Linked DNA regions of Rhinolophus ferrumequinum. The protein of the gene in region 4 purifies or fractionates together with the protein of the main gene of each other region. This does not show direct contact. Links are inferred from orthologs where the notes say so. Each region holds a gene or a part of one and is shown on either strand. Other genes may lie near its edges. The genes, in order: RPUSD3, DHX37, METTL17 and PRR3.

Region 1 (7,953 bases), on a different chromosome or scaffold from region 4:
GTGGCCACCACACGGTAGTAGCTGAGGGTCCTCTTGACACCTTCCAGGATGTCCTTTCGGGATGGGGACTTCACTGGAACTACCTGTGATGTCAGCCTCCAAGAATTCACACATACCTGGGAGCTACACCCAAACCCTCCTTGCTCCCAATAGGCTCAGGATAGGGCCATAGTATAGGCAGTGCTCACTTGCCTATTTTAGGGGACAGAAGAGCCAGCCACCCCCAGTCTGTACCCTTGACTCCTCTGTAGGGGTAATATGTCAGAGATTCCTCCCCTTCCCCACCCAGACCCTGACTCACAAGATCGACGCCTTCAATGTGTTCTAGTTTCAGAGCGGCTTGGATCTTCCCCTCAGAAGGAGCTGGGATCCCATCAGTGACAGCCCTACGGAAGAGGCAGGAGGAGGTCACAGTAGCTTGTTGGGAGCTCCCCACTGCCATGCTGCCTCCCAGCACCACTTACCAGTAGGTGGCTATGGGTCTCTGGGCTCTCTGTGAGTAGGTGAAAAACTTCTGGAGGCGGCTTGCTGTTTCGGGACAACTGGAGAGGAGTACAAGCCCAGAGGTCTCCCTGGAGGAAGGAGACAAATGACAAAAGTTAAAGTCCTTTGGGCTCACCCACAAGAAAGGGAGGAACACTGACCTGCTTAATGCCAAAAAGCAACACCAGAGTATTACCCATACCTCCTTCTGAGAAACAAGTGAAGCTTCCTGTGTTTTATAATAGGGCTATGTAGCTCAATGTGTTTCTCATTTTACCCTGGCCCCCAGGGAGCTCAGAGCCAAACATCACAACAATTACTACCAATTTCTCAGAGTTGACCATGTGCATTACTATCCTAGTAATTTCATATATATTAGCTCTTAAATAATTAAATTCCCCACAGATAAACCCATGAGTTGTGAAATTGCAGAAATATTTCTTCTCAAGTACCATCTCTAAGTGATGGCTATTAGAGGAAAGAACATCATGGACCACGTGCCATGAGTGTGGGCTTGGAGAAGTGACTATATACACAGCATAGGGGTCAGTAGCTGTATCTTCTAAGTAATGGAACTGAGGCTCAGTGAGGTTTCATGCTTTGGCTAAGATCACAGCTTGTACTTGAGGATTTGAACCTAGATCTGTCTGCTCCCGCCTTTACTTTGTATCCTGTTTCTGTGATCCCAAGCCAGCTGTGGAAAATATCTTGGCTTATTTTCAAGCAACGGTTCCCCAACCACACAGATGGATGCCTGTCTTCCTATCGCCCCCACCACTTACTTCCCAGATGCTCGGACAACCTGGAGCTCCCTCTCCCCAAGCCCCAGGGACTGGCTCAGCTCTGGCAGCACGGAGAGCAATGTCAGCTCTCCTGGTTTTCCTGGGGGGGAAAAAAGGTAAAATACAAATTGCTCCCAGAGGCAATTTTACCCCACCATCCCCTTCTCTTCATTATTCCCTCCCTCAGAGACATCAAACCCCCTTTTAGTGCATCTCCGTCCCCTGCCCTTACCTGTCACTGGCAGACCCTGTGGCTTGTTCAGCGTCACTAGTGGTCCTGAAACATATGTTACATGAACATCACTAACAGCAAAAGCAGCAGCTGGAGTTTACAAAGCACTTTCTCAATTCATCTTATCATGTAGCCCCACGACAACTCTCAGACATGAGTTATTAACCACACCCTGACCTGAATTTCTTTCTGTCCCTTGCATATGCTAAGCTCACTGTCACCTCCGGGTCTTTGCACTGGATGTTTTCTCTGTCCCAGATTGTCACATGTCTGGCTTCTTCATCTCATCTTAGCTCAACCACAGAGGCCTAAACCCACAATCTAATGTCTGCCCTGCTCCTACCGTTCTTCACCGGCATAACACCCTGTTTCGTTCACAGCACTGATCACTAGTAAGTATCTTGTTCTTTATTTCCTGTTTAATCCATTTCTTCCACGAAAATGTCAGTTCCCTGAGAGCAGGAACCGTATTTATCTTGTTCAGCACTGTATGGCTGTGTCCAGAACAGTGCTTGGAACATAGCCTATGCTCAATAAATAGCTGAGAAAATGAATAAATCACTGAATAAAGACTGAGGCTCAGAGAAATTGTCTTCTTCCTAAAGCCACAAAGCAAGCTGATTGCAGAGCCCACATCTGACTCCAAAGACAGTGTTTTGTCCATCAATAAGCAATTTATTAGAGCAATTCCCACTGGGGCGTGCGTGCCTACTGTGTTCGAGACTCTCTAGTTCTTTACACCCTCCCACCCCACACCCCCACCCTCATGCTGAGGCTCAGAGAGAGGATGTGGCTCGTCCCAGATCATGCCAGTGATGGGAAGCAAAACCAGGACTTGACCCCAGAGGCTTCAGTGGGGAGCCCAAACAGCCCCCGGAAGGCTTGGAGGGAGGCTACTCTCCTGCGGCTCTGCGCAGCGCTCCCTCTCACCCTCACCTCTCTGGTCCAACACACATGCCCTCAGTGCATCAATCAACTGCTCCCGACTGAGATTCTCTGGCTGCAACAGCCCTGGGAAGCGCTGGTTCTCCAAGGGCCTCGACCGTTTGCTGGAGCCTCGGGGATGCAGCTGATGCCTGGGAAAGATGAGGTAAGCAACAGGGGAATCATTCATTTCCAGAGGTACTGCCCACTCTTAGCGCCACACACCTCTTCCCAAATCCTAACAAATGCCTCAGAAAGCCTGGGCTGAGCTCTCCGAAAATTCAGGTTTGATTGGTACCATTTTACAGACGAGAAAACCGAGGCTGGGAGAGGCCAAGAGGCTAGTGTAAGGTCACAGAGCAAAGCCAGAATGAGAACCCCTATCTTCCTAACTCCAGATCCCGCACACATCTTCCCCCAGCCCCACCATCCCTCCCACACGAAGTGGGAGGCGGTGTAATCACCGGGCCTCGGAGCCAAAGCCTGCGGCCTTGCGAGCGGCGTGGATCTCTGGCCTTCGCCGCCAGCTACCCGAGACGCGGCCCAAAATACGGCAGCCACCCATCTTCCGAGCCAGGACTGTGCGCATGTGTCTGCACCCCCTCCCCGCCCCAACTCGCCCACAGCTCTCTCATTGGTCAGATTGACTGTCAATCGGAATAGCGAGAAGGTGGGGCTTTAGAGCCGTGAGCAGGCAGAGCTTTGCCTTCGCCCAGGAATGAGATTCGTGCCTATGTTTTCGGGGAACCTGAGGCATAGGGCAAAGAAGGAACTTCTCAGGGTCAGGGGACCTGTCTCAGGACAAAACCGAGACGAGAGGTTAAGGTTTTCTGATTACCATTTCAATTCGTAGGAGATTTCTGACCAAAAAAACCAGTGTTGTGCACAATATGATCCAAGAAAATTGGCGGGGGGGCGGGGAACATCCATACCCTTTGGTCCAGTGACCCTGCGTGGAAGAACAGCCTGGTGCATAATCCAAAAAGAGTAAAAGGCCAGAGGCAGAAAAAGATAAAAGATTCACTACAGCATTATTTATCAAAGCACAAATAAAACAACTCTCAAAACTGGGAACATAAATTGTCCTGTGATTAGCTAGCTTTACAGGGGAAATAAATCTAATGCATTCAACATTTTTTTAAATGCTAACTCTATGCCAGGCCCTGGCATTTGTGAGCTGGAAACACAGATCAACAAGACCTAGGCCCTACGCACAAGAAATGAAACCAAGGGGACACAGTTCAGATCACAACATCATGACGCACCTTGCTAAACCCTGGGAAAAGGCTGAGAGAAGAGAGGAGACAGGGAAGGTGAAGTCAGAAAAGGTGTCCCAGCATGGGTTGTGATTGACAGGTTGTGAAGAACTAATAGAAATTCACTAGGAGGCAGAGAGAGGGAACAACAGGAGAAATGAGCTAATTAAAAAAAAAGCAAAGAACAAAATGGAGTCTATCCTGTAATTACAACTATAGAGAAATTACATGCAACCTTTGTATTATTTTGTTTACTAAGAGCACTGTAACTTTCAACTCCTTGTTTGCATTAGCAAAAGACTTCAAATTAACCTAAATCCATCAACAGAGGTGTGGCTAAGTCAATTGTAGCACATACAGTCCATTATGGAATGTGTAGGTCTACATGTGCTGATATGAATCAATCTCCAGAATATATTAAGTCAAAAAAGCAAAGTGCAGGACAGTGTGACTAGAATATGCATATATTGTATACATACAGTCATGTGCCGTGTAATGACATTTAGGGCAACTATAGACCACGTACGTGATAGTGGTCCCATAAGATTGTAATGGAGCTGAAAAATTCCTATCACCTAGTGACATCATAGCTGTCACAACGTCATAGCACAATGCATTACTCACGCATTTGTGGCTATGCTAGTGTAAACAAACCCACGCTGCCAGTTGCATAAAAGTATAGCACATACAATTATGTACAGTGCATAATAGTTGATGATAATAAATGACTATTTTACTGGTTTATGTATTTACTATACTATACTTTTTATTGTTATTTTAGAGTGTACTCTTTCTGCTTATAAAAAATAGTTAGCTGTAAAATAGTATGCCATGTTATACCAGCAGCAGCCTCACATACCTCATGCTCGCCACCTCTCTTGATTGCATCATTTTTTCTTGTGCTTAATCTCATGTTGTTTTGTGCAGTAACATGCTATCCAGGCTTGTATTGTAGCCTAGGAGCAATAGGCTATATCATTAACCTAGATGTGTGGTAGGCTATACCACCTAAGTTTGGGTAAGTGCAGCCTATAATGCTCGTAGAACAACAAAATGGCCTAACAATGCATTTCTCAGAAAAATCCTCGTCGTTAAGAAGTGCATGATTGCATATGTGTGTGTGTGTGATTTATATATATTATATTCATGTACTCCTGCATTTCTAAAAGGACACACAAAACGAGATGGTGGTTGCTTCTGGAGAAGGAATCAGAGGTGAGAAGATAAGTAACAATTAGTTTTACCCTTTGAAACTGCTTAAGTTTTTTTATCTCATTGATCTATTTCTTCTACACACACACACACACACACACACACACACACACACACCCCTAGTTTAAAAATCTAAGCCAGATATAAAAGACTGTAAGATTCATAAAAAATTTTAAATAATAAAAGTGTTTTAAAATAAAAATGGGTAGAACTAAATTTTTTAAAAGATTGGGTGATTTGATTTAAAATGACATTTTAGAAAAGGCAAACTATATTGGCAGAAAATAGTCAGTGGTTACCAAGGGCTTGGGATGGGTGGGAGGATGGGGATTGACTAGAAAGGGAGCCGTTGGCATGCTGGAAGTGGTGGTTATATAAATGTATCAATTTGCCAAAATTTAATTAAATTATATACTTTAAAAGGGTAAATTTTATTGTATGTAAGTTATATCTCAAGAAACTTGTTTTTAAATTCAAATATTTAAATAATCAATTTTTAAATAGATAATGCATAAGTACTGGGGTTGCCAAAAAATATATACACATGACTTGTATTCATCTTTTGTTATCGGTATATAGTATTACATTTTCATACTTTTTTTTCCTTTCTTAAAATGTGTATACATTTTCTTGGGACCCTCTGTATAAAGACTGGCAAGATATTTGGCAAGACTACAAGTGTTTTTATCTTGTTTTGGGCTTGGGGTAGGACATTACTCTGCTTTGTCAAAAGGCCCCAGGGTATTTTAGAATCTCTTTTCTGGAAGGTCTCCTGTGCATTCATAAGCAGCAGCTTTGAGCCAGATGGAAAGACTAAGGCCGTGGGGCTGGCACACAGCCTGCCTTAACTGCAACACACCTCTCCTCCACTGGCGGTGCTTGGCTCCCGGAGGGGCCAGTCCCCAACTTGGACTGGCCCCTAGCCCTGCCCAGGCTTGAGCTCCCTTGCTCTTTGGAGTTTTCCACACACCACAGCTTCATCAAAGGCTGCCCTTTCCTGTTCACTGCCCACATCTTGTGTGACTCCGTTCGCCTCCGAGCTCCTCGAAGAAAAGCAAGAACTAATTTTTCCTGGGCTGGAAGGGCTCAGTGCCAAGAGCTGGTCACTCAACGCACTTGTGAAACTCTGAATCTCAGGAGGAGGGGGTGTGGTGACAAATTCCAAGCTTCTGTCACCCCAGCCAACTCAGTGTATGATTAACTTTATAGGAGGAGCAGGTAGGCCACAGCCTAGGCAAGGGTTGACCAGGAATAGCTTCTGGTCATCGTGCCTCCACGTCAGAAGGCCCAGCCCATGGAGACAGGATGGCACTGAGCCCGGGCTCCAGCCATAACTGCAAAAGCAGGAAAGCCCAGAATAGAAAGTGTTCTGCTAGCTCTGGCAGCTCCTCCCATAAATGGCTGCAGGGTCTGAGTCCACTGCCAGCAATAACTCTCCAGCTCTACCTTTGGTAACGCAAGCCTTTGTTTTGGTTTTTAATAAACCCAAATAGCCTTCATGGTAATGGTCAGAAATGACACATTTTAAAATCTGAGTCACAGATTAAAGCACAATCACCTACAAACCTAGCTTTTCATGCTTGTCTTGTTTGAGTTGCTCTCTATTGAAACCCACACTAATGAGAAATTAATATTCTTTGTGGTGGCTAACAGCTGTTTTGAAATCCTAAGATTGAAAGTTCTGAACTGCCTGGCAAGCTAGGGAAGACATTGCTGGAGAGCTGGATTACACCTTGGTTAGTACATTCCCACCTAAACACTTAAAAGTTGTAATAAAATGCAACAATGAGAAATTAGAAGAGTGCCTTAATCCCACCCTGCCAATCAAAGCCCTTCTGATAGGCAAATTTGTTTTGGAAATTGTTATTTATTTTATGGACTAAATGGTTTGCTCAAGTCTTTGATTAAGCAGACATTAGTTCCAGAATCAACTGAAATTTTTTTTTTTTGGCAGAAGAAGTGCTGTTTCCTGTAATGCCACATTTTAGAGAATGATTTGACAATAAATTTGTTTCTTCCCTTGGACTTTTTCAACCTTCCAGATAGAATCCCACCCTCATTCCCCAAGAACACAGGCAAAGAAGATGTATTACCATAACTCATTTATTGTGAACTCTCTCATATAATACATTAGTGAGCCTTATTATTCAGGAGTATTAGGGATAAGAGCCAGGAGGTAGGAAGTGTAATGAAAGTATAGCAAGTGAAGACAGGCGTCTAAGGGCAGACTTCATGCCTAGCCTGCTGGTGACCAGTCTTGGTCAGCTAAGCTACCTTGTGCAGGAAGGAGCTGGGCCAGGCCAAGAAGCCTCAGTACCCTTTGGTCAGCCACCCCAGGTTTCCAGCCCTTCCCCCTGCTTCCACATTCACGGTCCTGTGGGGGTAAGGGAGGTGTGGGGAGGCAACAAGCTCTCTGCCAGGCTTTTGGGTGCTACAAGCTGCGCATGGGGTCCCCAGTCTAGTCCTCAGCTGGGGAAAGCCTCTGAGGACTTGGGCCTTCATTGCAGTATCTTCAGACAGGTTGGCATGAGGGATGGGACCTTGGCCTTGGGTGGCTGTCCTCCCTCTGTGGCATCCAGGAGCTGCTGCATGTAACAGGAGGTGCCGAGCAGAACGTGTCCTGTGGCCTGCATGCTAAAGAGGGCCCAGCGAAGAGCTTCCCTGGGTGGAATGAGAAGGTAGTAGAGTCAAAACACAAAGAAAACCCTTGCCTGCATCCCCTAAATACTTCCTTCCCCATGCTCCCTTCATAATTTCATCATTTGTAGAGTGATGTGCAAACAGGAACAGAGGTTGCCTTCCTTCAGCAAATGGGAAAGGGGCTACAGGCATTACCTGCAATTGTATCTTAACTGAGATGTCCACAATCTCTCTATTTTCTCATGCAAAATTCAAGCTCATTTAACAAGGCCTTTTATTTTTGTAGTATTACTTTGGACCAATCAGACTGGTCTACATAACATGAAGATCATAACTCTGCCCAGTGTCTGTTCTAGATTCTGAGGCCTTTCCAAGTCATTTGTAGTCAAGCTAATTTTTCAGAGTCCTGGGCATGAAGATACCA
Region 2 (7,580 bases), on a different chromosome or scaffold from region 4:
AATGAGTTACTCTAATGATGAAAGTACTTTGCGCCTTTTAAGGAAATAACAGGAGATAGTATTACCATCATCTCTGTTGGAGGCACAAACTCTGGTTGACCCCTAAAAGAATTCTTCGGACCCCCAGATTCTCAGATTCTTTGCCAGAATACCGCTGTCTTATTGATCCCAACCCAGAAGATAGGCCCTTGCACATCGGTATTGTTATTCATGTCCGTGGACCTCAGACTCTCACACAGAACCCTCAGCTGACACATCGCTTCTTTCTGCTTATCCTGCACAAAGAAGTAAGACTTCCTTCTGCTCTAAAACAAATGCTTTCTGCTCTCCAATCGCCCAGGGCAGGCAGTCTCACCTTGCTCACATCCTCTACCACCGACAAAGAGTTCTCTCCTCCGAACCCACAGCCTCCCCAAGAGGCATCCACACACCCACAGGAGAGGATGGTCAGACGTTCCTTTCCCCAACAAAATTAACCTGTCTTTCATTTCATCCAGTAAGAATATCCAGCCAGTCTGATTTGGGTTTCAAGGTTCTTTTTTCCCCCTCCATCTCAAGCACCAGAAAACGTTTTTGAACCCTGAAGGTCCTTCCAGCAGGGCTCAGCAATGCTGATTTGTACCCTAGCTAGGGTGGAACTGCCAACAGCAGCTGATACCAACTCAGCCATTACTCTGGCCCACCACTTACAATCAGTCTCTTACTGAAGGGGGTGGTATTATCCCTATTTAACAAGATAAAGAAACTGAGGCTCAAAGAAGGGAAACCACTTTCCTAAAGCCATCAGGCATGTAAGTAGTAGAGCCAGAACTTGAAGCCAAATAACAGAGCCCAAACTTCAACCCAAACTTCTCTCCATTCCAAAACGCCAGGACGCGCGCAAAGGAGTAAGAGGAGGGCAAGAGCAGTACTCAAGGAACCACATTACCACATGCAACTGTCCCCCATTTACTTCCCCTTTCTGGGGAGCTACTGGTGGCCTTTTGCCCCGAACTGCGTGCCTATCCCACCCAGCTCCAGCGGACCAATCGTGGAGTGGGGAGCCTCCCTGAGCTCCTTCTGAGGTCTCAACATCACCTCAGGGGGCTGCAGGCTCCTAAACGGCTTCACAGTGAACAAAACGCTTCAAGTAAAAGGCCTGGCACACAGTAGGCGCTCAGGAGGGTTAATGAGCCAGGTTGCCAAAGCAACAGAACAGTACGCATCGTTCCCTTTCTTTTCTTGTAAATTAAAAAAAGAAAGAAAGAAAGAAGCCTAAACATCTTAAAAGCCGGAGGAGGAGGGCCTAAGGTGCTCAGGGGAAGAGAAGAGCGCAGCAGCGTGGGTAGAGGGCGCAAGCGGGCAGGGCGCCCCCTGGGCACCCAGCACGGTGCCTGGCTCATAGTAGGTGTTCATTCAAACGTGTTGAATGAATGAATGAGAGGCGCGGTCGGCGTCAGCGCTGCCCAGGAGAAGCCCGGCTGCTCCGCCCTAGGGGGCAAGGTCCAAGGAGAAGTGCAGCGTGGAACAGACGGCGCCCCGCGGCTTTGCACCTGGCCCCAAGCCGGAACCGGCCACCAGAGCCGACACTGGCCAGGCAGGCCTCGGGGCGCAGGCCGGCCACCCCCGTCCCCGGACTGGGCACCCTTCTTCCACGCCGCGGAGGCCGCGCACGGCCCAGGCCGGCCCCGGCGCCAGGTGCGCGGCGGCCGGGGCAAGGTGACCGCGGGCGCGGGCCCGACACCCACCTTCTGAGCGATGCGCACGTTGTCCTCGCCGAACAGGCTGCTGACGCTCTGCGAGAAGGTGTTGACAGTGCGGCGGTAGCTGTTCTTCTCGGTGCCGCCTCGGCCCCGCGCCGCCTGCGCGCCGGGGGCCAGCAGCCCGAGCAGCAGCGGCAGCAGCAGCAGGAGCCCAGCCCGGGCCTGGGGCCCAGCCGAGGCGCGTGCTCCCATCCTGGGGCCGGCGGGATGCAGGGGTCAGGAAGAAGGGTGAGGGCCCTACAGAGGGACGCCGCGGCTCCGGCGGGGACCGCGTAGGCGCGCTGGAGGACCGCGCGCCGCGCTGGTGCCCGCCGCTGCCGCTGCTGCGCCACCTGCCCCGCCCCGCGCGCAAAGGCGCGACGGCCCTGCCCACGCCTGGCCCCGCCCCCAGACGCGGGGACCAGCCATGGACCTGGCCGGAGCCCGCGGGACTAGGTTGAGGTTGCTTTGTCTCCCCGCCCCACCCTCCAGAAGCCCTCCCTGACCTGGTGAGGTTTTAATCTTTTTTTTTTTAAATAATTTTTATTTTTAGCTTTTCCGTAAAATGCAACCCATGCCTGGAAAACTTGCCACAGCCTCAACAAAGATAAATGGCTGCAACTGATTGGAAAACATGAAATATATATATACATATAGATGTATCATTGAACTTAATGGTACCCAATAATTGGCCACCGTTGCCGATGGCAACGGCACCAGCTCATTCATTAATTCTGAAATGTTTAAATAAAGGGAAAGCATCTAGCATCCTTCTTGCCTTACTGAAAGAACTGTATTTCATTCAGAGTCACAAAATATTTGAGGGAAAGTTCTTTTTAGAAAAGTCCAGCTAGTAAGTGAGGAAGGAGTGACATAATTAGAAACTTATTTTGCAGCCGGTAATGAAATGATAGGTCCAGGCGACGATCATGCAGAGATTAAAACCGAGAGTTGGTGGGGAACTGGATACTGGAGGGGCCAAGTTGTCCAGCCCTGGACCCGCCAATCTGTAGCAGGAAGTACCAGCGCCACCTATGATGGATTCCTGCCAAAACCCTTTGAGCCATAACCTGATCTGGCCCCTAAATCTAACGAACAGTTTACCGGAAATACAGGGGATGGAGAAAAAAACAGAAGCAGCAGAAGCAGTCAGCCAAATCCAGAATGGGGAGTACTGTACAGGACCAACGATCCAGTTTCTTCGATAAGTAAATGGTATAAAAAGTGAAGGGAGGGGAGGATTATTGGTTTTAAACGACCTAAGAGCCATAATAACCAAATGCAATGCAGGGGCCTGTTTGCATCCTAAATCAAACAAACCGTGTCTAACCAGACATTTTTGAGACAGCTTGCAAAATAAAACTTAATTGTTGCCAACCCAAAGAGTGAAAAATTGTATCTTATTTTTCTGGCTTCCTGATAAGGATTTAATATATTTATTGGCCATGTATTTTACCTTCATTTTTTAAAGTAAACTTTTAAATTTAAGAATAGCATACAAGCAAAAATACACAAATCATAAGGTGTCTCTCTATGAATTTAAACAACACCCAGGTAATTGACAAGACAGGTATGGGACAGTAACCAGGACACAGATGGAGAAATGGAACATTACCAGCTTCCCAGAAAGGTTCCCTTTATCCTCTCCCATTAACTAGCCCCTTCCAAAATTTAAGGGATTCGTTTTGCCTGTTTTTGAACTTTATGTAAATGGGGTCACAGAATATGATCTTTTCTGATTGGCTTCTTTTGTTCAACATTATATTTATGAGATCCATGTTGTGTATATGTCTTTTTCTTCTTCCTTTATAGAATGTTCTTTATCTTTTCTAAAGATAATGTTTTGGTATATAATATTTTAGAGGAAAATATAGGAAAAATGAACACATTTTATTTAATCAACACATTTAAAGAAGAAACTGGATCGCTATTATCCTAAAGAATGAAAATACAAGTTTGATATGTTAATTATACTTTTTTTCAAAAACCATTGAAATTAATATATAACTTCAAAAAAGTGTTCATATGTGTGCTACCTAAATCTTTATGCACCAACTGTGCATTTGTGGTGGCTCGTTTTTTGTTTGGGGGGAGGTGGGGACGCTTATCCAAATTCAATCACACCATTCATTCATTCATTCCTACATTCAACAATTATTTATTGCTTACCTACTCTGCAGCCAGATCTTATTCTAGATTCTTCAAATGTTTTTCCTGGGACAGTTTTAAAAAAAATAACTTTATCCTTTCAAAAATTCTAAAATGACTCCTAGCGCCTTCACCTTTCTTTGTGATATCATTTAAATGTTTGCCCTTAACGAATTAATACTTTTAACAGAAAAAAAAAGTCGACATGATATTACTGTTCTATTCACAAGATAATTACAGGATTCAGAAAATATATTATTTCCGAGTGCGCTGCAGACAATGTGATGTGTAATGAGAGTTTAAAGCTAATAGATGCTTTCTCCTTTTAGTTGTGTCCCAGTAATGGAAATATTTAGTCCCTTTTTATTACACAACTAATGTATGTTACAGGAATATCAGAAAAAAAGAAATGAGCAAAAAAAGGAACAAGTTTGTATTAGGGATGGGGGTATATTTTAAAAGGTGACAAAACACTCCCACTTCCTAGTGGCCCAATTAGTAGTAGTAGGTAATTCAAATTCAGAGACTCAGACTACACCACGTGAGAACAACCCTGGGTTTAATTAGGCCTCTGCTGGGACCGCAGGCCTCTACACTCTTTTAAATTGGCCCGGCCCCGCTTTTCCGCGTGGCCCCGCCTCCAGCACCGCCCCTCGGGGGCCAGGTTAGTCCCAGCTCTCGCGAGAGCGTAGCCCGGAAGTTTTCCGACCTGAGCGGGTATCCTGGGAACCCACGAGGGCTGGGTTCAACCCACGGGTGAACTCCGCCGGAGCCGAGCAGGACCGGGGCGCCATGGGGAAGCTGCACCGGCGGTACAACGTCAAGGGGCGCCAGCAGGCGGCCCCCGGCTCCTCAAAGGGCCCCCCCGAGCCGCCCCCCGTGCGGCTGGAACTAGAAGGTAAGGCGTCCCGGGGGCTGATTTCGGGGGAGGGGCCGACCAGGGCCTCGCGGCCGGGGCTGGCCAGTGGGCGCCGAAGGGCTCCCGGCCTGTGTCTAGCTTTCGTGACTCTGGGGCGGGAGGACCTGGAGCGGGAGCACCCCCTCTAAGATGATACAAAGGAGTGGGGGACAGTGGCAGGCAAATTTTAACTGAATTCGGACCGATACCTGGGTGTTCCCTCGCTTAGAGTCCAGCCCTAGTATAACAGCATGGGGACTTGGGGCAAGAAAATAAGTTAATTTCAGCCATCCCGATGGCTTCTGTTATGATCGTGCCGGCGACTCCTAAGTTTGTATTCTAATCCCTGACCTGTCTGCTCAGCCCCGGGCTGCTAGACACAGTATTTTAACATGTGCGCCTACAAGTGCCAGCAACTTCTAGGCGCAGGAGACAGAACAGAAAAGATTTAAGGGGGGAAAAGTTTCTGCCCTACTGAGCTTAGCTGCTTTTGGAAGGAGACAGGCAAAGACACACATGTAAAATATATAGAATGTTATGTGGATATAAGTCCTGAGGAAAGGAAGCCGCAGAGGTGTTTGGGTGGGTTGTGATGTTTCATAGAGGGGGCGGGGAAGCATTATTTGAGTCAAGGTCTGAAGGTGGCCAGAATGGCTGAGTGGAGATGAAATTAAAAATGAGGGCAGGTTCATGGAAGGCTTGTGGGTCATGGCGAGGACTGTGGCCCCAGGAAGTAGCTGCGTTGCTTAAAATTGTCTCATTTTTCTTAATGAGGGCCACATACCCTCTCCTACACTTTGTGATGTACAAAAAGATGTACAAAGCCAAACGGGTAACAGAAGAATCAGGTAGGGCCCTTATAGGACGCTGCTGGGGGAACTCCAGTGTTAGATGTTGCACACAAAAGGGCACTCCCCAAGATTCCCTCACCCCAAGGTGCTTCAGTAAGTTGAGTTGCAGAGTAATATGATAGCTGAATTTTGATCTACATTATATACTTTCAAACTGTGACATTTAAAAATAGATATGACACAAACTCAGTACTTGGTCCGCTGCATGCTCTGTAGAGAACGTCGTAGTAGTATTACGAAAACAGCTCGGACTTCATACCCACTCAGCGCAGGCCCCACTCCGAGGGAAGCACTGTTATAGCCTGTACCCCGCTTACTGGTACTCCCTCTTCACCCGCACTGGGATGGAGGTGGCTGGGCCCGCACTCCCCCACGCCGCCACCCCCTGTGCCGGTACTCAGGGGCTCACAGGTGGGGCAGGAGTCCCCAGAGGAAACCGGCATTAATGGAATCCTGAGTTTTGCCAGTGCCTGAGTTTGGCATTCCTTGGCCTCTGGGTCTGTCGGTCAAGCAAGCCTGTCTTTTCAGAGAAGGGCACGTTGAAAGGAGTTGACGACAGCAACGTGCTCGTCCTGCCGGGGAAGAAGAAAAAGAAGACCAAGGCCCCTCCGCTGTCCAAGAAGAAGAAGAAGCCTCTGACCAAGAAAGAGCGGAAAGTGCTGCAGAAAATCTTAGAACAGAAGGAGAAGAAGAGCCAGGTATGCCCACTCTGTCAGCGTCTGCACACGGCTCTCCAGACTGGAGAGAGTGAGAGAGAGATGGAGCCAGAGGGAGGTCCAAAAATGGGGAGACTGAGAAACCCCAATCTCGAGGCTTCTTCATGAAATTCATGTTTGACTTTCTCTCAAGGTGAGCAGGGTGCTGGGTCTCCAGCAGGGGACACACAGGTCAACCGTTAGCACTGACGCTCAGCCCCTGGAGCCCTTACTACAGGGGACACTCACTCTCTGGTGAGTGTGTCCTTTTAAAATCCTGTGCAGTATTTTTCCTGCTGTCCAGTACCTTGTTTTTTCCTTTTATTGATTGTGAAATAGACATACAGAAGCACATATAAAATACGTGTAATTTCAAGAATAATAAGACAAAAACTCATGAATCACCAGGGGAAAGAAACCACTGGGCCCGTCCCCACATACTGCTTTACTCAAGACAGCGTGGGGACCCCTTCCTGTCACGCGGAGCTGCCCCTGTAGTAACGGCGGGATGTGCTGCCTTGTACAGATGGGCTCTCCTTTATTTATTCCGTCTCCCATGGATGGGCGTCTGTCTACTCGACAGTCTTCTCCTATGCCACACAGTGATGCAGAGAGTGTCTTGTTTACCCAATCCCAGACTTTGTAAGGGGGTACAAAGCCACTTCCAGCTCACACGTCTGTTGGCGTAAAAACACCACGCAGCAGTGCAATGCAGTTTGACCTTCGGTTTAAAAAGACAGGGTGTTGGCCATGCTGAAATTTTGTGGAGCGTCTCACTTCCCTTCTGAAGAGGGAGTCGTGATGCCAAATGTCTAACGCGCTCATGTCCTTCCCCAGCGAGCAGAGATGCTACAGAAACTGAGTGAGGTCCAGGTTTCAGAAGCGGAGATGAAACTCTACTACACCACGTCCAAGCTGGGCACTGGGGTCCGCATGTACCACACCAAAGAGTAAGTCGGCTGGCCACTTCCGAAGCCCATCCCTCCTGCCAGGGCCCCTGGGGACGGACTCTCGGGTGACAAGTCTTCCAGAGAAAAGACGTGTGCGGTGGCCTACGTTCTGTAATGCTTCAGTGAATAGAGGCCCCAGATGCTGCTAAAAACCCTGCGAGGAGCAGGACAGCAGAGTTTTCTACTCCAGTGATGTCCGTGTTTCCCTGCAAAGTGGGGTCCTGTGTTACAGGTTCTTCCAGCTTTTGCACACACGTTGCCGTCAAGGGGCCGAGGATTAGACTTGGCCCATTAGCAAGTTTTGTTTGGTTCCTACA
Region 3 (7,808 bases), on a different chromosome or scaffold from region 4:
CATCTTAACTTTTAGCCCACTCCTTTACTCCTGAATATAAAGTTATTTCTAGTATTACTTTGCTTTATTAACTCCTTCAACTTTGGAAAGTCCTTCCTTATAGCTCACCTTTCAGTAGCTTTTCTGCCAGATCCAACATGGCAGCCGAACTGTCCACACACATATATTCACGTATGCTCTGGCCCCAAATACTATGAGCAGCCCTAAGATGGCAAAATATAAATCAGCAGTTCTCATGACAAAAAGTCATTCTTACAAGAAATCCCTCTACCACCAACCCCACCCTGGGGAAACAAAGTGTTATATTAAAATAGTTGGAAAAACTAACAATGTTATTTTCTTATTTCATTTACAACTCCTTAAAGAAAAAAAAAGGCAGACTCAAACACTACTTGTAGACAAAAATTTTGATGATATACAAAACTTATGCCCTAAATTCCTTTCCTTTTTTATCTTTCTATACACGGTCCTTTTTCACCTGACATTTAAGTTTTGGCCTTAATTTATAAACCTTCTCATGCCTTGCCTAACCTGAGGGAAGAAACATTTTAGTTCCCAACTTTCCTATTCTTGATTCCCCAGTCTCTTGATGTTGGAGTGGTGTAAGCATGGCTCTCTAAAACTAGAATGTATAAAGAGAAAGATACTCACCAGGTGACAGACCCAGTACCCGATCCAAAGTCCATCAAGGTTTGTGGTTGGAACTCTGGAATTTGAGTCTGGATCTGAAGAAATATACAACACCCCACAGTAGGGTAAGCAGACTCTTATTTAGGGCCGTGGTAAATATGATTAGGAGACCAGGACAGAGGAGATGTGAATGTCTTTTGAGATTCAATTTAAATACTTTATAGAATAGGAAGCTCCTAAAACAGTGACTCTAAACCTTTCTTAGGTCACAAAATCCTTTCAGAGGATAAAGAGAGCCCCTTAAAAAAATGCACATGCAATGTCCCAAGAATCCTACCCCAGAAGACTACTTTATAAGGGAACCGATGGTAAAAGGGTTCAGGTTGGAAGCTGAGGGGCTTTCACCTCATGGAATGCCCTGGAGACTGCTGCAAAGCCACCATCCAGTCTTGCTGCCATATACACCAGGCTCAGTCCCTCATTGTAGCTGCCAGAAAAATCAGAGAGTCATGTCCACTGGGAAATAATCTCTATTCCATAGCTGCTTCTAGATTTTTTAGGAAATGAAATCTCTGGAAAGGGTTCTTCCATGTTATCACTTTCACACTACAACACAGGAAAAGTCCTGGGGAGCCTTAGAAACCAGGTAGCTTTTTCAAACACAAAATTGTGTAATTGTACTTCTCCAATTCTCCTTGAAAAGTCAAACTTTTCTTTCCTCTGTAACCCTTCTAGTCCCTCTTACCTCAGTTCTTGCCAATGGTAGGTAGTTTTACGCAGCGCACGCAGCACTGCTCCACGAAGTTTCTCCTCTGTCTGAGATGAGTCTGGGGTGAGAACAAGCACTGGAAGTGAGGACCTAGGATGAACAGGGCTCAGATCCAATATTTGAATTTATTGCCTGCCCATTCCGCCCCAACTCCTACCCGGGAAAAGCCTCAAAGCTTAAGGAAGCCAAACCTGGTGAGAATAACAATGACCTCCACCACTACCACTAGAGTGTATCAGACAGTAATTTGCCTCTAACAGCAGATTATTCAACTCAATTCACCCCATCCCACGGGTTTTGTTCTATACTAAAGGGAAGCGTGGTAAAGATGTACAAAATAGGATAAGGACAGTATTTTGTACATTTCCTCACTTCCCCAAAACTTAAGATTGTGCGTCTCTAATGTTCCTACACGGAGGAAAGGAACTTTAAGTCTCATGATAGCGTTCAGTTCAGTCCTATTTTATAGAGTGCCTACTATAAGCCAGGTACTGTGGGTAATACAGGGACTACAAGATGAATAACAAGCCGGGTCTGTAATATGAAGGAGCTCACAATCATGAAAATAATAACTTGACAAATTATACTTATTCTCCTGTCCCTCAAGAGGGGTTTGGCACTGGACAGGGAGCCATACAGGGGCTTTATTTCAGTTGAATAAAAACTTAGTCCTAATCCAGTGGATTTGTTAGGAAAAAAAACAAAGACCTAGATTTCAACAGGATATTAAAGCCCTCACTGACCTTCACCAAAGCCGGGAGGGCAATCTTTGGAATAATCTAGCTCCTCTTAGTAAGGCATCATTGTAATAACCGCCCAGAAAGTCAAATAAGAAACTGTAGTATCTATTTGAGAGACTAAAATTATTTCTGGCTCTTCATTTCCCATTGTTATTTCAATGTGACCTACTTTTTAGTTATTCTTAAACCCTACCTAGGTTTTCCAGGATTTTCTTCTCAAGATGCATAGCCCGCCTTTGCAATTCCTCTGGCTCTACGGGTACATGCCGGCTCCAGAGATAATTGGTCAGTGCTTGCACCTGCTTCTCCACATTGGGTATTGGATTCTCTATGGGCCAAAGATGAAAAGCGGCATCAGTTGCATGAAGGCCCAGTCTCCGCTTGCTCTCGAGCCTCCCTTTCCTACCGTTACTCACCGAGCAACAGTAACTGCGCGGTGTCAGCCAGTGCTTGAGGCAGCCGCACCCGCGGCAGCTGCCGGATGCCGGGGTGCCGGCGATGGGGCCTCTTCCCCAGAAAATCGGACTTGTTATCCACCTGGGATATGCCGGGCACAAGGGCAGCGAGAGCCTGCAAGCCGGAAAAGAAAAGCTGATTGCCGGGCAGGAAGAGAAGGTTGCGGGCGCTCGCTAAGGGAGGGGCTGCCGGGAGCGCTCCTCGGAGCAGACCCGTGTCAGAGCTCCAGTCTCTCCCAAAGCAGTGACAATAGGCACTCACCCGGGACTGCGGAGCTACACCAAGACCACGACGCCATCTGCCTAATGTGAAAAGACACCTCGGGCCGCTCCTGGTCGCCATGGCGCCGGAGGCGAACCGGAAACGGAAATGTAGATATCTGTGACCCTCAGTCTCACTCGCCCAGGCGGACATCCTCCCCGGAATGACGGCATGGGACAGTATCAGCCAATGAGGAGAGCGAGTGCATGCGAGTGGCCAATAAACAATCGATATGTAAATCACCTTGAAGTGTAAGAGTGCGTGGGTGGGACTTGGACGTCGCTGCTACAGGAACCCGCCGGAAGCGAGGTGGCCTCAAGGCTTCTTTGGGACTGGTCTCCGCATCCGAAAATTCAGGGGCGCGGGGTGATAGGGGGTGGTGGCGTGCCCTACCCTGGGTCTTTAGGAACGCACTGTAGACTGGCAGGCTGTTTTCTGGATGTGTTAACTGCCTGCGTTCCCTTGATTTTCTTTCTTTCTGGAGAACTCTGAAGTAGTGGGTTCTCTTCTCCGTTTGAAAAGGGGGAAAATGCAGTAACAGAAAGAAGAGATAAAAGCCAGATTTAGGCGACGGAAAAGAACGGAAATTAATAGATTTAATGCTTTTTATATTTTAGTTTCTCTTCATATTAAACTGGTCTTCATAGATAAATAGCTAACACACTTTCAAGTAATATCAATCCCCTCATTTAGTCCCCTCATTTCACCTCATTTAGTCCCCAGTCTTCTGAAATAGATCGTTGTTAACTCCATTTTGCAGCTGAAGAAAGCTGTCTTCAAATGGTTAAATACCACGCCCAAGATCACAAAGCTTATATGAAAACTAGACTCAAACCTAGGCAGTCTTAAGTCAGCTTCAGTTTTAAACATATGCCCTACCACATATTGTTGGTATTTTGAATGTAAGTTAGCAAATTAACAATATGCTAAATGTTATGAAGTGTTAAATTAACATGTAGAATTAGAATGAACTCACTCGATTCCTATAGCAAACACGTTAGTCAGCTATGGTGTATCTTAATCTGGTGACTGGATGGGTAAACAAACCTATGGCCTTTGCTGTAGCTGCAAGAGTCCAAGTATGTTAAGTATGGAATAAAATATGGGTAACTATATCACTTGCAGAGTTAAATATCTGGTTTGCGTTTAGGTTATTAAGCTTGATTCTAATATAGGAGGCCTTTGCTGTATAATCCAAATGCTCTGGAAGAAGACTTGAGGGTTGCTTAGGACAGCTGTTGTAAATTCCCCACTCACTGCTCTCCCTTTCAAGTTCACCACCTTCTTTCTCCCCCCGCCCCACTTTGATTCACACTGCCACACAGCCTCATCTCTGTGACACATTGCTTTTACTTTAAGTTATTGCCTCAAGTACAGTCATCCCACAGTATCTACCGGGAATTGATTCCAGGACTCCATGTGTCATGCGGGAGATCCTGCTCGCTGTGCCATGTGTCCTGTGGGGCAGCCTGCGGGGTCTCTGCTCCCGTTCCCCACATAAGAACGCAGGATGTAGCTAGGCCAAAAAGGAACATCCACGGAGCCATAGGTAGGGGAGTCATACGACTATATTCTCTCTGGCAGCTGGGCGAGACACATGCAGTAGTAGCCACATGATCTGCAGTCCACCATTCACTTCCCTGCCTGCCAACCAACCAACCAATCAATGCAGCCCTGCAGTTACATCAGTAGCTAATTGGCCAACCGGTTACAGCTGATGGCCAACCAATCACAGTTGATGGTCATTCACTATCAGAGCCATCACCTCCCCACACAAGGCGGACAGCCTGGAAACTGCTGCTCTCTGGGACTCTGTCCCCACACCGTGGATACCAAAATCTTTCCATGTTCAAATCCCTTATATAAAAATGGTATAGTATTTGCCCATAACCTAGGCACATTCTCCCTTATACTTTAAATTATCTCTAGATTACTCATAATAGCTCATACAATGTAAATGCTATGTAAATATTTACTATACCGTATTGTTTAGGGATTAAGTTTCTGGGGTTTTTTTTTGTTGTTGTTTTTAAAAATATTTTTGATTCCTGGTTGGTTGAACCCACAGATATGGAACCCATGGATATGGAGGACTGCTAGTATTAGCAAAATAAAATATTCCTGTCACTGCAGGTTAGCTGGAACATAAGATTGGCTATGTTAATTTTTTGTCATAGGGAGGTAGCAGAACATAGGGTTAAGATACTTGGCATCTGGAATCCAGCAGTCTGGATTTGAGTTCTAGAGCAGCAAGATAATAGTTGCTACCTCACAGGGTTGTTGGAGTGAGGACTTAATGAGATAGTGTTTGGCCAAAGTAAACATTCAATGTTTATGATATTATCATACGTATTATCACATGTATTTTGGGAGCTTGAAGGAACATAATCATATTTTAATTTTTATTATGAATTCATGTCTTATTTCCAAGATGGGCTTGAAACTGGGGCTACTTGGGGCCAAGTAAGATTGAGCACTGGTGACTAAGAAGTAAAGAGCAGGAGGACTTGGTGGTGCCTCTAAATATCCCTCCTGGTGTTTTGTTGTTGTTGTTGTTGTTGTTTTTAATCTAACTGCCAACATAGATGTGGCTTCCTTCATTCTGACACTGGTCTAATTGAAATTGTTCCCTTCCTTCAGTGATACATCTCAAAAGCTGACTTAGACCTAAATTTATGTCTTTGTTCTTAATCCAAAGTATTGTTCATAAAAACAAAACAAAGCAAAACTTCCATACCACTCTCCCCATGAATCGAGGATGTCCATAAAACATCTAAAACAGTGAACATGATTCTTTGTACATTGAAAGCACTTAATAAATATTTGTTGATGATGTTGATTAAGTGACCACTCTTTGTTTTCATGCTGGGAAAAGCCTAGGATAGACTAGGTTGAGGATCCAAGTCTAGTTATTTGACCAGGTCACAATCCCCTACAGCACAGATGAACCCATTTCATTCCTCATCCATGAATTCTGCATATCAACACTGGTCATACTTTGACCTGGGTAGTATTTCCAATTATTGGCTTTGCATTAAAACAAAACAAAACAAACAAAACAAACAAAGAAACAAGCAGCACAGATGTCAATGGGGAGAAACTGGACAGTATTAAAGAGAAATGCCCGATCTCCAAGTTAAGCAAAGGAAAATAAAAAAGATTCTCTAAGGAAGGTTTGGATAATTTGGTTAGAGATGGATAATGATCAACTGGTCTTCTCCACTGGGTTTATGAAAAAGGGAGGTAGCTAATAATTAGATTTAGAGAAACCCTTAACAATGAAGGTGTGAAGCAACTGGAATAAGTTTATTGGGAAATTAAAGAAATTCTGCCATAAAGGTCCTAAATAGTACCTTTAAAAAAAATCTCTTTCTTTTTGCTGTTTTTTAAAATCTTCAATTCTCTTAAGCCATCATTTGTTGTGTTCAATTGCTTCTAGATCAGTCTTTATCTTTTAAATGATTTTTATTTGTAACTTTTCCTGTGTCACATTTTTTTTCCTGAATTTTTTAAAATTTTGGTGCATATTATTCTTTCATGTCTTGGATTATTTTCTTAGCTTATTTTGAAATCATGGCTTACATTTTTAATCTGTTTTGTGGACATGTCTGTGTTAGTGTAGGTTCTCAGCGAAGCAGACATTAAAGGTGGGATTAGATTTGTAAGAGATTTATTGGGAGAAATACCTGTGAGGGGATAAGGGAGAGGAAGCCAAAAGAGGCAGGAAGAGTCAGACTGTAATGAGGGAGGGAAAGCAAATGGATTGGTAGGAACAGTTCTAGAAATGTTTCAGCCAGCCTTATGGAGACTCTTTGAGCCCAAGGTAACCATCAGAGGAGTCTTGCATCTTGTAGAAATGGGCCTGACTTAGTAGTATCACTGCTGCACTAAGTCTTTGTTTGAGAGTGGCCCATGGGAAGCATAGCAGATTCAGAGTGTGGCTGTTGGGGCCATTGGTCAATTATGATTCCCATGAGGTCTGAGGAGTGCATTTTCATAGCTTCTCTAGAGCCACACAGATCCACTTCTCCAGCTCTACTTCCTCAGATAGGTTCAAAGGACAGTTCCTTCAAGTTTTGCACAGGCTTTCACAGATTCAGCATGCCAAGAACTACAAGAAGAAAGGATATGTGTTTTATTTTGAGTAAAAACTCAAGGTTAAGTGTAAAACCTTTAGGTTCAGGATTTCAAAGTGTAGGCAATATGGAGAGAAAATATGACACACACACACTTGATTAATGCAACATTTATTTCTGTTACTTAGCTGAGCAGGGAGCAAGTGAATGTGTGAAGTAGAGAAATAGGGACACACACACACCAACTTGACAGGAACAGTCAGTGTGTCTGTGCCAGGCTGCTGCTGCTGCCTAGGGCTGATGCCCATCAGTGACCTCCACCTGCAGGATTTTCTTCCCCATTTCTGCACAAAGAAGTTGGAGTGCCCTCAAAGATTTGGGGTCTTGGTCTGCAGAAAACTTGATTCAGCTTTCCCAGTAGAAGTTCAGGGAGACTGGTGCTTTATGCTCCAGGTTCGGTGATGGGGTGGATGCTCAGGCTTTTTGCTAAAAGTCTTAGGGGGGATTGAGGATGACTGCAGCTAGGAGCCTGAGACTAGATCCTCATCAGTTCTTCCAGACTTCCTCCCCAAAACAAACAACATGTTTACATTACTCATTTTTCAGATATAAACACAAATCTACTTTTAAAATGGTTTCTCAACAACATGTTTAAAAACAAGAGTTAAATAAACATGTTTATGAGATTTTTTTTAAAGGAACAATATATTCATAATTTGACAAGGTGAGGTGAAAACACTATGTCAAAACAAACTTACTTCAGGATGAGACATCCTTTAAAAATACTTAAATCACACAAATCACAGTATGTATCCAATGTTAGCTGCCTGGCATCTCTCTGATTTGTCTCCATGTGCCTTAGAGCTATAAGCAGTT
Region 4 (7,927 bases):
CTTTCGCTCAACATCATGTTTGTGAGATTCATCCAAGTTGCCTGTAGCAGGAGCTCGTTCATTTTCAGTGCAGTGTAGTATCCCATTGCATGCACACACAACAACTTATTTATCCATTCTAGTGATGGTGGACATGTGGGTGGATTCCAGTTTGGGGCTATAAGGAAAAATGCTGCTATAAACATTTTTGTACATGTCGTTACACATATGTATGCATTTCTGTTGAGTATATATACCTAGGAGAGGTATTATTGGGTCCTAGCGTATATGTATGCTCAAGTTTAATAGATAAAGTTAAACTTTTCCCAAAGTGGTTGTACCAATTTATACCGCCACCAGCAGTTCGTTGTTTCATTGCCTTGACAACACTTGGTATTAATCAATCTTTTTCATTTCTGCCATTCTGTTGAGTGTGAAGTATTTTTTGTTTTTGTTTTTTAATTTGTGGTAAAACATGTAACATTAAATTTACCACCTTAACTATTTTTAAGTGTACCTCTCAGTAGTGTTAAGTAAATTAACATTGTTGTGCAACACATCTTCAGAACTTTCTCATCTTCCAACACTGCAACTCTATAGCTACTTACAACACTCCTCTTCCACTGCCACCCAGCCCCTGGCAACCACCATTTTCTTTGTGTCTGAATTGAACTACTTTAGATACTGCACTTAAGTGTAATCATACAGTACTTTTCTTTTTGTGACTGGCTTATTTTACTTAGCATAATGGCCTCAAGGTTCATACATGCTGTAGCATGTGACAAGACTGTCTCACTTTTGAGGGGATGAATAATACTCCACTGTATAAACATACACTTTGTTTAGCTATTCATCTGTCAACAGACATTTAGGTTGCTACCATCTCCACTATTGTGAATAGTGCTGCCATGAACAATCTCTTCCATGCAAATATCTCTTCAAGATTCTGCTTTCCATTCTTTTGGATAAAGACCCAGGAGTAGAATTGCTGGCTCATAAGATAATTCTATTTTTAATTTTTTGAGGAACCTTCATACTGTTTTTCATTGTGTACCACCGTGCAATCCCACCAACAGTGCACAAGCGTTTCAATTTCAAAGTCGTATGTTTTTATCTTGCATTTATTTATCGACTAATGTTCTTGTTCATGTTTTTTGGGTCATTTAGGTTGCGGTTATGAGGTGGCTATTCTGGTCTTTTGCCCATTTTTCTAACAGTTTGTCTAGAAAACTTCTATATATATTCTAGAACAAGCTCTTTATTGATTACATTTGTTGCGAGTATTTTCTACTCTATGGCTCCCTATTAATTTCTTAATAGTGTCATTTGATTAATAGAAGTTTTTATTTTCTAGTGTAGTTCAGTTTATAAATCTTTCCTTTATGGTTGATGTGTTTCCTATCTAAGAACTCTTATCTACTTTAAGACCATGAAATATATTTATTTTCTAGAATTATTTCTTTACCTCTACACTTAGATTTAGAGTCCACTTGGAATTGATGTTTGCATATGGTATGAATAGGTCAAATTTCATCACCCCCACGAATATCCAATTAATCCAGCATTATTTACTGAAAAGACCACTATGTCAGTTCCATCTTCATCATAAATGAAGTGTCCGCGTATGTGTGGGCCTGTTACTGGACTCTTTATGCTATTCTATTGACTCATGTGTCTACCACTGCGCCAACACTACACCGTCACAACCACTATAGCTTTACAATAAGTCTTAATATTCACAGCAACCCCTCGCACTTCAAGCCTGCCTTTGCAATCTCTTACCCTGATCCTTTCATTTCCATATAATAATGTTGAATGTTTATTTCCACACAGACACACACACACACACAAAATAGGGATTATAATTGGGAATGCATTGAATCAACAGATCAATCTGGGAAGAATCGACATTTTTTACAACACTGAGTTTTCCAATCTGTGAATATACAACATCTCTTCATTCATTTAGGTACTAAATTCTGATCTTTTGATTTTAAGTCCTTCCTGGGTTTTAGTCCCTCTCTTGCTCCCTTTTCCAGGACCTAATAAAAAGATCAGGGCCCCTTCCTCCTCACCTGACTTGGGGTCACCAGGCTTTCCATTGGCCATGGGGGGAGGGCCCAGAAGGCTGGGTGGTCCTAAGAGTAGACATGAAAATATGGTCATCATAATGGACTAAAGGACTGATGATCCTATTCTTAAGTTTTTATTCTATTACTCATTTCTTAAATCAACCAGTAAAACCAGGTATATTCTCAGCTGTGTTACAGGTTTTCACCCCATCTATCTGCTCTTTCCTCTGCAAAAGTGTTCAGGATTGATTGGCAAGAAGTGGAGACTCGGTCAAGGGGGATAATGCGGGAGGAATACCTACCTACGACTCTTTCCCTGACACTGTTGCTACCCAAAACATCCAGAGGTAATCCAACCCTTCTCTAATTGGCCAGATAGCTCCCCTCCGCCCCTGTAGTTTAGAGAAAGATACACTTCCACCTTCCCTGTGAAAGTCTGGACACAAATTATCCTGGTCATGCAACCTGCAACCTCTCTAGGGCCGAGCTCTTTATCCTGTCCTCCCCTGCCTTCTTTAGAAAGGTTTAGAGGCCAGATTGAAGTTGAGGGTTCAACTCTTTCAAGGCTCCATCCGGGATAGGCCCTCCACCCCCTGCCCCAGCGCGTGCGCCCTTCTTCCTTCCGTTGGAGCCCACTTCCTCGCACCTTTTCAGCCCCTAACCCCTCGCCCCGACCGCTGGCAGAAATGTGCACACTCCTCCCGGGCTCCTCACCGATGGGAATCCCATCCTCTTCGTCTTCAGTCTTTTCCCGCTTTAGCAGTGGGAGCTGCTGCTGCGGCGGCTGCTGCTGCTGATTCTGCTTCTTTCGTTTCGGCATCGTGGTTGCGGCAATGGCTGCAGCGGGATTTGGAAGACGGTGAGGAAGGGGCACGCTGAGATTCTGTTTCCGCTTCCGTGGGGGCTGTGGACCCGAGGCTGAAGCTCCCACCATTTAACTTCCGGAAGGCTGCAGGGAGCCTTTGTGCAGCTCATTTTCACGTAAGCTGCCACCCTCTGTTTCTGCCAGAAGGCGTAAATCTCAAACTTTCCCTTCGTTGCGCTTCTATAAATGTTTTTAAAAAATTCCTCTCTTCTCCCCTCGCTGAAAAAAACTCCACAACCAGCGCTCCACAGTGTGCAACACAGTTCTCAGGCTCTCCGGCGGGAAGGTCTGAGAAGAGGGCTGTCGCACGCTAAGATCGCCACATCCGGTTCCCGGTTACTATGGTAACAGCAGCAGGCACAACTTCGTGACCTCTGACCTCCCCCCAAAGTCCTTGTCCCACCAGGGCTTCCTTCCTCACCCACCCTTGCCCTGTGATCTGTAAACCTGCTCCTTCTTATCCTCCACCAGGAATTTGGGTCCCAGCAGGGCGGTGTCCTGGACGCTTCAGACCGCCACCAATCCTCAAGACCTCTGACCCTGCCCCCAGTGTAAAACAGCAACTGGGCTCCATTCCCCCGCGCGCAGCCTCGGCTTCCACTCCAGGTCAAGCCCGGGGGCAGGCAAAGCAGCTCCGGCGCGTCCACGCCTCTCTTTCCCGCAGGTGGTAGGACCCGCCCCCCGCTCCACCGCCCCCTCCAGGTGAGTGGTAGCTTCTACCAGACGCGCCAGGTGGTGGTGACACGCGTCCCCCCTCTATCGACCGTGAGTTGGTAGCGTCCGTGACGATGCGAGCCCGATCCTCCCACGCGCGCCTCCTTCCTCGCGGCCGCTGCGCCCTTTCCGTGCCCCCGGCTCTCACATGCGGGGAGCCCACCCGACATCATCTCGCCTAGCTCCGGGAGGGAAGTGACTGTATTTCCGCCCCCCTTCCTCCTTCCAGCCCAGCTACTGGGGCAAATCGGCCGGGCCCGCCCGTTGACGTCACCTTCTAGCTCCGCCCCCTCGAGGGTCCCGGGCCCTTGCGGCGGGGACTGCCCGGGGAGGGTGTAGTCAGTTGAGGCGGCGGGAGCTCGGCGGAGGGAGGGCCAGGTGACTGGTCCGGGCCATGCCGAGGAAGAAGCCCTTCAGCGTGAAGCAGAAGAAGAAGCAGTTGCAGGACAAGCGGGAGCGGAAGCGAGGTCAGTGCGGGAGAGAGAAGAGGGGGCGGGGCTCGGGCTCCCGCACATCTAAAAGGAGGGGTGTGCCCGCCGCGCCTCTGGGGGGCGTGGGAGGGGGTGGTGGCCGTGAGCCGTCGCGCGCGGGTGACCGCAGAGGGGATTCCCTCACTCCAGTCCCCCTACATGGAAGGGGTGGGGAAAGATGGGGAGTTGGGGGAGGGGAATCCCTCCAGCTCGAACGGGCAACATCCCTGCAGATCCCTGGAGGAGGAGTGACTACCCCCACGCACATCTAGGAGGGTCCTCAGCAGGGTGGCTGGGAGAATCGGGCCTCTGAAGAAGTGGGGTGGGGTGAGGGGAAGCCAGATCCAACGGGGAGGGGGTCTTTTGGCCCCTGAGAGCCGGGCAGCACTGGCGTCACCGGCTCCTCCCCTCAGGGCTTCAAGATGGGCTGCGATCCAGTTCCAACAGCCGCAGCGGGAGTCGGGAGCGGCGGGAGGAGCAGACCGACACCTCGGACGGGGAGTCTGTGACCCATCACATCCGTAGGCTCAACCAGCAGCCTTCCCAGGGGCTGGGTCCGCGAGGCTATGACCCAAATCGGTGAGTGGGCGGGGGGCACTGGCCTGGCCTTCCCCGCCTACCAGAAAGTCAGAGCACTGGGGGCTAGCCAGCAGCCGCTGGCTTGAAACTGGAGGTGGTGTGGCTGGGATGCCACAGTTCTCCGCGGGCACTGGGCTCCAGGGAGCGGCCACAATCTTCCCTTCCGGAGGGGCTGGAGAGAGCTTGGCTTTTAGAAGTACAAGACTTAGGGGAAGGCTGAATATTGCGGGAAAGAGGGAGTTGGAGGAGGGCCTACTCAAAGGACAACCTTGGAGAGAAAGCTTTGGTAAGTTGTCTGCCCAAGAGGGGAGTCTTTTTGTGGCCACAGGATTGTAATGGATGCTGTGGTCCTTGTCCCGTTAGATACCGGCTGCATTTTGAGAGGGACAGCCGGGAGGAGGTGGAGAGGAGAAAGAGAGCAGCCCGGGAGCAAGTGCTGCAGCCTGTCAGTGCTGAAGTGCTGGAGCTGGACATCCGGGAGGTCTACCAGCCTGGCTCAGGTGGGTGAGAGCTGGCTGTTGGTGATAGGCACTGGGCTGGGGGAAGGGCTGTGGAGGAGTGAAAGCTGACTGTGAGGAAGGAGGGGTTTGGGATGCACCCTGCAGTCCTGACACGATCCTCAGACTCCCTTGGGCTTTTTATTGATTTCCCAGTCCTGGACTTTCCCCGACGTCCTCCTTGGAGCTATGAGATGTCCAAGGAGCAACTAATGAGCCAGGAGGAACGGAGCTTCCAGGAATATCTTGGGAAGATTCATGGGGCTTACACCTTGGAGAAACTCAGCTACTTTGAGCACAATCTGGAGGTGAGAATGGAGTGGGGACAAGAATAGGGTGTAGTGACCCAGGGTCAGATTGGTTTGGCGTCAGGCAGGAAAGGGACTCTGGGCTCAGGTTCTCTTCTGCTGACCTTGTCTTTTCAGACGTGGAGGCAGCTGTGGCGAGTGTTAGAGATGTCTGACATTGTCCTGCTTATCACTGATATCCGACACCCAGTGAGTACTGGGATAAGGCTGGGAAAGCCGGAGGTGGGGGTGGGGGGACATTCTTGTGGGGTCAAGGGCAGAGGCAGGAGTTGGGAGACAAAGAGGTATCCTTCTTCCTTCACATTCTCGTGTACCCCGTGCTGATGTCTGCAGTCAGGGTTTCAGTCCTTTACTCACCAGTGTCCCAGACTGTCATTCCTTCCCTGGCTAACTGACTCTCCTCTCTTATTCTTTTGATGAAAAACTACACATCCTGTTTCCCAGCCCAGCAGAGTTAAACCAACAGAAGGTCCTAGAGTGGAGCTCTAGGGGCTTCCATGAAAGCAGCTGGGGGCTTTCCCGTGCCCTGCCCATTAGTCAGCACGAGGCTGACCTGGAATGCTGGGGTAGCGGTTAAGGCTCCAGACTCTGCTGCTGGATGGCCATTGTGTGACCCCGCTCTGCCACTTCCTGTTGTCCTCCAGTGGGAGAAAGGGAGGGTCTGTGGGGATATGCAGGTTGCAGATCCGTAACGGCGTGCACACACGCACATGCCTGCGCAGGTGCACAGGTGCTTCTTACCTCTGCTTTGTCTTCCTAGTTCAATTCAGCTAATTTACCTGTTTTGCCCCAGAATCTGCCACCTCCAGGGTCTTGTCTCCAAGCTGTGCCTGCTGAGCTAGAGGCAGAGGACTCTGGGGTGACCTCCCATTGCTCATTCCCTTGCCATCCCTGTCCCAGGTTGTGAATTTCCCACCAGCGCTTTACGAGTACGTGACTGGAGAACTTGGGCTGGGCCTGGTGCTGGTCCTGAACAAGGTGGACCTGGCCCCGCCGGCTCTCGCGGTCGCCTGGAAGCATTATTTTCACCAACACTTTCCCCAGCTCCATGTCGTCCTTTTCACCTCTTTCCCTCGGGACCCCCGCACCGCACAGGACTCTAGTAGTGGTGAGTGGCAGTGAGGAGGGCAGCATGGGAGAGATGGGGTGGCAGGGGACAAAGGGAGAGCAGAGATGCTTGTTGACAAGGGGGCACCAGATCTTGGACCGAAGGGCGGTGAGACAGGTGGGGTGTGCTAACCCTTTTGTGTTCTCCGATGTCAGTCTTGAAGAAGAGTCGGAGGCGGGGGAGAGGATGGACTCGGGCCCTGGGGCCCGAGCAGTTGCTGAGAGCCTGTGAAGCCATCACTGCAGGGAAAGGTTTGTGCCTCTTAGAGGGAGATGTGACAGGTCATCGGGAGACCCAAGGCCCAGAGTCGTTTTACTCACCTTTTCCGAAGTCAGCTCCTCTATCCTGGCACAGGCGAGAGGCTGGGGGAGGGGTGGAAGAGGGAGCAGACCGACTTGGTGGGACAGGAGAGGTAGCAGGTCGGCAGGAGCCCCAGGGTCGCTGCCTTCAGGCTTCCCAGGACTTTTCAGAAAACTCAGAGAAATGCATGTGATTCCAGGGTGGTGTCAAGTGAAGGCTGGGGAGAGTCGGCTGTGGTGCAGGTTGGCACTACTCAACTCCAGAGGGCACCAGTTCCATCAGCTGTGCAGTATAGTCTGTGCCGTCACGTACAGTGGCTCTGGGGAGAACCTTCTTTGTCTTCTTCCCTGAGCAGTGGACTTGAGCAGCTGGCGGGAGAAGATTGCCCGGGATGTGGCTGGGGCCAGCTGGGGGAATGGCTCCGGTGAGGAGGAAGAAGAGGATGATGGGCCCGCGGTGCTGGTGGAGCAGCAGACCGACTCGGCCATGGAGCCGGCCGGCCCAGCCCGGGAGCGCTATAAGGACGGGGTGCTGACCATCGGCTGTGTGGGTAAGGGAGCAGTGCCATGCGTGGCGTGGCGGCCCCCGTGTTTGGAAAAGAGGGGAGCTGATCAGACGTCATTAGGCTCCAGGTCTCTGGAGGCCATGTGCCGTAGTGGAAGGACCATGGGATGCCTGAGTTAAATCCCACCTCTTCTTGGTTGATACTGATTTTGAACACGTATTTACCCACTGAGTTTTAAGTACTTTGGATTTTAAAATGGGAATACTGATACGTAAGTGAAAGAACAGATGTGAGGAGTGAAGGGAAGAGGAAAGAGAGAGCCTAACAAAGCCTGACAAGCAGTGATAATGGCAATAGTAACTAAACATTTGTGTGGTACTTAACTATGTGCCAGGCACTGGACTAAGTGACTTGTATGTGTTAACTCTGGAAGTTGGAGTAATTAGTCCATAGCAGAGGGGCCATGAAATCATAGGGGGAGCTTAACAAGTATTAGTTTCTTTCTTGGTCTGAATCCTTTAAATCTGTTG

What was found.
Region 1: the proteins of PRR3 (region 4) and RPUSD3 purify together in Homo sapiens (co-immunoprecipitation; 3 studies listed by BioGRID and IntAct, with this or other methods). This does not show direct contact. The link is inferred for Rhinolophus ferrumequinum from reciprocal best matches to the Homo sapiens genes PRR3 and RPUSD3.
Region 2: the proteins of PRR3 (region 4) and DHX37 purify together in Homo sapiens (co-immunoprecipitation; 3 studies listed by BioGRID and IntAct, with this or other methods). This does not show direct contact. The link is inferred for Rhinolophus ferrumequinum from reciprocal best matches to the Homo sapiens genes PRR3 and DHX37.
Region 3: the proteins of PRR3 (region 4) and METTL17 purify together in Homo sapiens (co-immunoprecipitation; 3 studies listed by BioGRID and IntAct, with this or other methods). This does not show direct contact. The link is inferred for Rhinolophus ferrumequinum from reciprocal best matches to the Homo sapiens genes PRR3 and METTL17.

Annotation. Positions count from the first base shown.
Region 1 is NC_046300.1:44,073,606-44,081,558, reverse strand, and holds the start of RPUSD3 (mitochondrial mRNA pseudouridine synthase RPUSD3), read right to left. Parts: upstream 3,011-7,953; coding exon 2,886-3,010; intron 2,574-2,885; coding exon 2,434-2,573; intron 1,543-2,433; coding exon 1,498-1,542; intron 1,366-1,497; coding exon 1,266-1,365; intron 573-1,265; coding exon 465-572; intron 387-464; coding exon 302-386; intron 97-301; coding exon of another isoform or gene 84-96; coding exon 1-83. Other genes in the region: CIDEC (cell death activator CIDE-3), read right to left, coding at 7,388-7,550. UniProt on the Homo sapiens protein: Catalyzes uridine to pseudouridine isomerization (pseudouridylation) of specific mitochondrial mRNAs (mt-mRNAs), a post-transcriptional modification necessary for their translation.
Region 2 is NC_046308.1:3,412,462-3,420,041, forward strand, and holds the start of DHX37 (probable ATP-dependent RNA helicase DHX37), read left to right. Parts: upstream 1-4,566; 5' UTR 4,567-4,661; coding exon 4,662-4,767; intron 4,768-6,146; coding exon 6,147-6,316; intron 6,317-7,150; coding exon 7,151-7,263; intron 7,264-7,580. Other genes in the region: BRI3BP (BRI3-binding protein), read right to left, coding at 1,728-1,934. UniProt on the Homo sapiens protein: ATP-binding RNA helicase that plays a role in maturation of the small ribosomal subunit in ribosome biogenesis. Required for the release of the U3 snoRNP from pre-ribosomal particles.
Region 3 is NC_046289.1:71,894,823-71,902,630, reverse strand, and holds the start of METTL17 (methyltransferase-like protein 17, mitochondrial), read right to left. Parts: upstream 3,010-7,808; coding exon 2,857-3,009; intron 2,710-2,856; coding exon 2,556-2,709; intron 2,468-2,555; coding exon 2,333-2,467; intron 1,458-2,332; coding exon 1,376-1,457; intron 1,118-1,375; coding exon 1,036-1,117; intron 726-1,035; coding exon 652-725; intron 204-651; coding exon 109-203; intron 1-108. UniProt on the Homo sapiens protein: Mitochondrial ribosome (mitoribosome) assembly factor. Binds at the interface of the head and body domains of the mitochondrial small ribosomal subunit (mt-SSU), occluding the mRNA channel and preventing compaction of the head domain towards the body.
Region 4 is NC_046286.1:1,191,955-1,199,881, reverse strand, and holds the start of PRR3 (proline-rich protein 3), read right to left. Parts: upstream 3,014-7,927; 5' UTR 2,986-3,013; coding exon 2,766-2,985; intron 2,118-2,765; coding exon 2,055-2,117; intron 158-2,054; coding exon 1-157. Other genes in the region: GNL1 (guanine nucleotide-binding protein-like 1), read left to right, coding at 4,025-4,097, 4,514-4,679, 5,043-5,179, 5,333-5,484, 5,602-5,673, 6,385-6,592, 6,748-6,843, 7,248-7,442.